Linked DNA regions of Saccharomyces cerevisiae S288C. Changing the gene in region 1 together with any one later gene gives a genetic interaction. Each region holds a gene or a part of one and is shown on either strand. Other genes may lie near its edges.

The links. Genes that interact genetically often act in the same process or in processes that back each other up.
Region 2: mutations in PMR1 (region 1) and SPF1 together harm fitness more than expected from each alone (negative genetic interaction), as found in Saccharomyces cerevisiae (6 studies listed by BioGRID, with this or other methods).

The regions. Positions count from the first base shown.
Region 1 is NC_001139.9:188,853-192,608, forward strand, and holds the start of PMR1 (Ca(2+)/Mn(2+)-transporting P-type ATPase PMR1), read right to left. Parts: upstream 1,617-3,756; coding exon 1-1,616. Other genes in the region: CUP2 (Cup2p), read left to right, coding at 2,277-2,954; YRB30 (Yrb30p), read right to left, coding at 3,126-3,756. UniProt on the Saccharomyces cerevisiae protein: This magnesium-dependent enzyme catalyzes the hydrolysis of ATP coupled with the transport of calcium. Has a role in the secretory pathway.
Region 2 is NC_001137.3:88,511-92,266, reverse strand, and holds the start of SPF1 (ion-transporting P-type ATPase SPF1), read right to left. Parts: upstream 2,010-3,756; coding exon 1-2,009. Other genes in the region: MCM DNA helicase complex subunit MCM3, read right to left, coding at 2,415-3,756. UniProt on the Saccharomyces cerevisiae protein: Endoplasmic reticulum translocase required to remove mitochondrial transmembrane proteins mistargeted to the endoplasmic reticulum.

The DNA of each region.
Region 1 (3,756 bases):
GAATTTGCGCACTCATTTATCGTAGCTTTTTGGGCTTCAGTCAACTTTTCAGTTTTTTTACCCTTTGATTTCAAATAACTTGTGGAGTACTCAAGAATTCTTTCAAATGCACCTTTAACATAAACTGTACACTTATTGTCGACAGGGTTGAGAATCTTGGTTGCCATTAATTTTCTTTTCGAGTTAAATGGAAGTTCCTGAACTTTTTGAACGGTGTTTCTGATATCAGGCATTTCAAAGTTTGCCAATTGCTCTAAAAGAGCTACATCAGTAGGATTTCCCAGAAATATGGCATGTTCTTGAGAGAAAGATGCATTATTACAGAGATTACCGATAGTTAGAGTTTCCCTAACGTCTTCAGTCAAATAGTTTTTCAAATTTCCATTAGAATTTTTAGTCTTCTTATTTTTGTCTAATGAGAGGACGTTTAGCTTATTGGACATACTGTCCAAGCACCAAAGTTTAGATACGGTCATGTGGTTTGAGGTTAGTGTACCTGTTTTGTCGGAGCAGATAACGTTGACAGAGCCTAAAGTTTCGACACTTGGTAACCTTCTCACGATGGCTTTACGCTTGGCCATTCTCAGAACACCCAATGCCAAAGTAACAGTGACAATAATTGGTAACCCTTCTGGAATAGCAGCAACCGCTAAGGATACCGATATTTGGAACATTTCTAACCAAGATCTACCTTGTATGATACCAACTAAACAAATCATACCAATAACTATGAAGCTAACCAGTGACAAGTCCTTTCCCAATTTGTCCATTGTTAACTGCAATGGAGTCTTCGGTTTTTCAATATTATTCATCATTTCAAAAACGGCACCAAAGGATGTGTTTGTACCTGTTCCTACGACGATACCCTTACCATGACCTTCCTTGACTAATGTACCCATATAAGCTATACAAGATCTCTCAGAAATCGGTACAATTGAATTAGGCTGATCGTTAAAGGAAGATTTTTCGATCGTTTGTGAGGTTTTATGTACCGGTTCATTTTCACCAGTTAAATTACTTTCATCGATGGATAAATCGATTGCTTCAATAATTCTAATGTCTGCGGGGATTCTGTCACCTATTCTGAAGTGCACTAAATCACCAGGAACCAAGGTGGAAGCCAGTACATGACTCTCTTGACCACATCTCATTAAGTGACATTCAGCAGGAACCAATTTATTCAACGCTTCTAGAGATTTTTCAGACCTATATTCTTGGACAAAACCGACAGTGACAACTATGAAAATGGCCAGTGTGATACTAACAGCATCATCAATGTTACCCATAAAAAGAGAGACCACTGCGGATCCTATTAAAAGTAGAATCATTCGATCCTCAATGAAATTTGACAAGAACTTCTTGAAAAGACTTTCATCATCTTCTACGGTTATTTCATTGGGGCCATAAAGTGATCTCCTATTGTTGGCCTCGTTAGATGATCGTAAACCACCGTTTTTGTCAGTGTCCAGTTTTTCTAGAGCTTCGTCCACGGATAAAGTACAATACTCTAAAGAAGGGCTTGGTTTCGAAAGGGCCTCTGCTGTGGCATCTAGTATTTCTCTCTCACGGTTTGAGTCCTCGTCAAGAAGACTCGCATTAAATGGATTGTCACTCATAATTATCTTATCTTTTACTTACACTTAAGCTTACGTCTGTGCTGGCCTTGCTTCGTCTTGTCTTGCCCAGTCGTAAGGATATTATTATAGTTACTAGTATTGTTATAAATGGGAATGGAAAGAACGGGGCGAGCAAACACTATTATGATGGTGTAGAAAAAGAGGTTTTTCTATTAAGTGCTTGAAGGAAGGGCTATAGTGTACGATGGCCTAGGGAACAAGATCTCGATATAACGATAGGTAGGGTCCACACTGTTAACAAAAAAAGTACTTCTTTAAATAGAGAATCTTGTCTTGATGTAACAAAATGAAAAAAAAAAAAAATGCAACTAGAATGTAGAATACAAAAGTTTAACGATCGGCTTTGCTGTTAAGTGGTTATCTAGGGATGAGCTGAACGTGCAATTGATACCAACCGATCCTTGCTAGGAACGCAACTCTTTTCACCCACCTTCCACCACTACGATCGTGAAAGAATATTTGCTAAGAAAATCGCCAAAACGAGGCGAAGTCGCCAGGGTGCGCGGGCACGCAGGGTAAGAGCCGCAAGGCCTGGTTCGGTAAGTATTAAGCTGTGGACGAAATAGCAGTAGCCATGGCGATGTAATTTATTAGACGGCGGCTTGATAAAAGAGGACTGATAATCAGTGTATTCACAGAATGGTCGTAATTAACGGGGTCAAATATGCCTGTGAAACGTGTATCAGGGGTCACAGGGCGGCGCAGTGTACTCACACTGATGGTCCGCTACAGATGATCAGACGCAAGGGAAGACCATCGACCACATGTGGCCATTGTAAAGAGCTGAGAAGAACCAAGAACTTCAACCCATCCGGTGGGTGCATGTGTGCCTCTGCACGACGGCCAGCTGTTGGCAGCAAGGAAGATGAAACACGATGTCGTTGTGATGAGGGTGAACCTTGTAAATGTCATACCAAGAGGAAAAGCAGCCGGAAATCAAAGGGAGGGTCATGCCACAGAAGGGCAAATGATGAAGCAGCGCATGTCAATGGTCTCGGTATTGCAGATCTGGACGTTCTTTTGGGCCTAAATGGTCGCTCGTCGGATGTAGACATGACAACCACATTGCCGAGTTTGAAGCCACCTCTGCAAAACGGAGAAATTAAGGCCGACAGCATTGACAATCTTGATTTGGCTTCCCTCGATCCGCTTGAGCAAAGCCCTAGTATATCTATGGAACCTGTTAGTATCAATGAAACAGGAAGCGCATATACAACTACGAACACAGCACTAAACGATATTGACATTCCATTCTCCATCAATGAGTTGAACGAGCTATACAAACAAGTATCTTCGCATAACTCACATTCACAATAATGCATCTGGACATCTATATAAATATACATATACATATATTGGCGGTTGTTTGTTCTCCCGGCAAGCTGGCAGTCGGGCCGAGATTCGGATAAATTTTTCCATTCGTATACATATACATAGATATATACAATTATAAAATTTGTCCAAGGCTGCACAGGATACGTAACCATCCTAAAGTTTTAGGTTTTTTAACTTTTTTTCTGTCTCTTCAATTGTCGAATTGCTTATTCTATCCTTTCTGGAGTTCGTATTTTCATCGTTCAAATATATAGATAACCTTTCATCACTCACTTCCAATATACTTTTCTGATCGTTACTTTGTAAGGACGTCAGCCGAATGATGTACTCCAGTAGTGTGATCGACGAATCCTTGTCCTCCAATTTATTTTCTTCTTCTTCTTCTTCCTTTCGTTCTTCTCCGTCTTTTCCTTCCTCTTCGTCCTCCTCTTCATCTTCCTCTTCATCTTCCTCTATCGCTTCATATCCGCTTACCGCATACCAAGTAATGTCATCGAGTAATCCCTTGTCTCCTTCACTGCTCTCATTTTCTTTGTCATCGCTCCGGTCAATCTTCAATACCAACACTGGAGAATCCTGTTCTTCTAATCGGAGAAGCTTACCGGAAACACTGAAAAACAGCTTCTTAATATGGTTCAGATCTATGGCAAGTTCCTGTGGTGTGTCTTCTTTGTCATCATCCTCATGATATCTACCGTCATTGAAGTCTTGTTCTATTTTCATAAAATAATCATACTTTCTGCCTGTAGAGTTCAATCTATATATCCTTGCTTTTGCACGTTTC
Region 2 (3,756 bases), on another chromosome or scaffold:
ATCAAAAACCCATTAAAGGTTAATTCAGATTCAACATCATCACGGTTTAGATCATCAATTTTAGACTGAGACATTTTTGGCAACGACTTAGAAGCCAAAGCCAAAACTCTTGAACCAGAGCGTGTAAAGGATTTATAGATTTCGTCATAATTCTTGGGAATGTCAGAAAGCCTTTCACGAATCGTTTCAGGTGCACCTTTGACAGCAGCAAACAAGGCATCGTTGTGAGAAGCAATAGAAGCAGACCTTTTTAAAGCAGAAGAAAATTGAAATCTACGGATAATATCCAATTTTCCGGTGCCCTCTCTATAGTTACTGTTTTTTCTTTCGACAGCCCAACCAACAGCCTTTAAGGTCGCCTTTTCCATTGGGTCACCAACAATATCACCATCTTCCAATTTAACTAAAGCGTGAGCAGCACCAATGACAAGAATTGTACTTTCTGGTGCTTCGGCAGCGCTGTACAAGTGACGAATGTTTTCGGAGTCCGCAGAGATACCAGCTAGACCTTCAAACACAAGATCTTCGCCGGTCAAAGTACCAGTTTTATCGAAACAACAAACATCAATTCTACCAGCAAATGGAATTCTAAATGGTTCAGTACAATAGACATAGAACTTGGCAAGGGCGGCCAGAGAACTGTTGACAGCCATGGTCAATTCCATTGGTAACTCAGGAGGAACAACAGATGTAATAATTAATATACAGTCCAAGATCAATTTGGATTGAATTCTACCCATTTTTGTACCCTCAACCCAAACGTACCAGGATGCAATAACAGCGAAAATCAACAAGAAAAGAATGAACATCAACGCTTCCTTATTATCGACGGAAACACGTTCAGCGGAGTAAATCATAACTCGAACTAAAGAACCCTGAGATGTTTCAAAGCCAGTTTTGGTGACGATGGCTAAGGCACCTCCATCAGGTGGAGGAGGGATATCCGATTTATGTTCAGGAGGTGTTACTTGTAATGCCTTTGTACCACCATGTAACACAGCAATCTTGTCAACACCGTCCAGTTGTAAATTATCTTCACTAGGACGTAATTTAATGGATTCCTTTAACAAGGGAGTAGATTCACCTGAAAGCATTGCTTCATTAACAATAGCGGAGCCATCGAGCAAGATCAAATCGCAAGGAATTGCGCTCTCCTCGGCGGTTCTTGTTATAGACACTAAATCCATAGGTAACAATTCATTGGTTTGCAATGCTACCCATTTTTTGTTTCTAAACACGTTAATGGTATAAGGTTTGATACCCATAGTTCTAAATTCCTTCAAGGCAGTTAATCTTTGAAATACTGCAGCTGCCTCCATGGAGATAATCATGAATAAGTTAAACAAAGAATAATACCAGAACTCATCCAATAGCCATAAGGCAACACAGAAAACTTGGAAAACAAACAATGGCGCAACAGCGTGCTCTTTGAATAATTCCATAAATGTTGGAATAGGAATATCAAAACTATTCTCACCATATAGTCTCTTCAAATGAGTTAGGTCACCGGAATGGCCCTTACATTTTTGGAAATCACCGATCTTTGGGGATTCATCAACAAGGAACTTTGGTGAAGAAAATACCTGCTCATTTTCATGCCACAAGAATCTTTTCTTTTGAAATTGGAAAAAAGTCTGCAAAGAGCCCGCTTCAGTTACTCTCTGAATTTCAACGATACCATCAGAACCATTATTTGGAGTGGTGTAGATGAGAATGTGAGTAGCTTCATTGACATTTTTAGTAGTACTGTAGTTGAATTTCGCCTTGATCTTGACATTCCAAGCAGGCATTAACATGACTAGGATGTTCAAGGATACCAATGTCCCCAAGTAGACAAAAGTCCACTCAGGTCCTTTGATGTAACGATCATATTGCTGGAAATATAGTTGGGCAAAGGTAGCGTATAACGGGAAAAACGGTAATACGTACGGCTTTGCTATTAATGACTTTGGTACCAGCAATGTCGAGTCCCTAACAATAGGACTGCTCACAAATGATTTCTTTGTCATTTACCGATTCCTATGTTTCTGTAGGTCTGATATGTCAACTATGTCTAGAGCTAAAAGCTTGCTAAAGCTTCATGTTATATGGTGGAAGAGACATTGCCACTTGGCTTTATTCAGAACACGCGAAGAGGAAGAGAAACGCGTAACGTATGGCGTGACAAGAAGCCACGAATGAGCAAGTAAGATAAGCCAAAGTATCACACATATTCATTAACAGAAGATATAGTGCCCCATAACTGCTTACAACACATTCAAACAAAAGAAGGAAATAAGCGTTTTAATACATAATTCTTTAATACACGAATAACAATTAATGAACTAAATAATCTGGAAATGAACTGAAAATTATGAATGACAAAAAGAAAAAAAGCCAAGAATGGAAGTCTTTTAGTAAACATTCCTGTGACATCAGACTCTCCAAACTTTATCGTCAGCAACCATTAAGTTATTTCTGTCCGACATGATCTTCAAACCTGCTAAATATTCTTGAGCGGAGAATTTTTCCTCCTCCGGTAGTTCTTCGTTGATTCTTTCGAACAAAGAGGCCACAGGATAGGATTCTTCTTCAAATATTTCTGTTTGCATCAGACGCGCAATAATACCTGAGATTAAAGACAATCTACCAGTAGAAATGGTACCAGGCTCCACATTGTCAAAAGAAATAACTGACTGTTGTTGCTCATCATCCTGACCTGCAGAAGATACGTTAGGTAATCTTGGAGTACCGACCTCGGTAAGAGGTCCCGACGAACCTTCCTCAGGTGCGTGAAGATGTTCTCTACGTCTTGGAGACACTCTCAACCCCAGTTGAAGCCTTCTTTGTAATTCAGCTTCCTCATCCGCAGGAAGCGGTGACATTATATCGTTATCGTCTTCACCAGCGTTCTGTTCGTCATCTTGAAAACGTAATATTCTGCGTGCTGACGATGGCGTGGCATTAACGGAAGATGCCGTTGACCTTCTTGGAGTAGATTTGATTGGGGATCCAGAGTTGCTTGCTGGTTGTCTGACTCTTTGTCTTTTTTTCGGTGATTTCTGTGGAGACCTCTTCGACAAAGCTTCTTCGTATTCACTTTCCTCTTCATCGATATCATTGCCGATATCCTCACCCAATAGTGCAAACCTTAGTAGATTGGCAGCCACTTTAGCATCCACCTTGTTGACTGTTTTGGATAACCTGACTTTGGCGTGAGCTGTGGCTAATCTGATCAAAGTCTCCAAAGTTCTTGCAGTAATGGGCGATTTTTTGGTATTATCATCGTTTCTTAAATCAGTATAATTTTTCACAATAACATTGATGGCTTCTTGTGTTAACTGTGGAATAACCCTTTCCTTGGCATATTGAACGTACTTTCTTAAGAATGGGATGGTGACTAGCTTTGGAATTTCTGTACCGTTATAGTTACCTTTGTTTTTTGCTAACTTAGCACCTGCTTGTAATAAGGGGTTGAACTTTTCGAAGACATGGTCTTCATCATCTTCTCCTTCATTTTCTACACCAGCCCCGGAGTTGGAATGCTCTTCAGGATTTATATCTGCATCCTCCCCAACGGCTAATGATAAATTCAAACGCTCTCTCACAGGTTCACCCTCTAAATAACCTGGAGGCAAATATCTGTGTGTTCTTAAGACATGCTCACTAATGGATCTATCTCTGATTTCATTGATATCGTCTGTCACAACAAATAGTAAATCAAAACGAGACAACAGCGAGTCCGGTAGGGCAATGTTTTGGTGTGGATCTCTATTG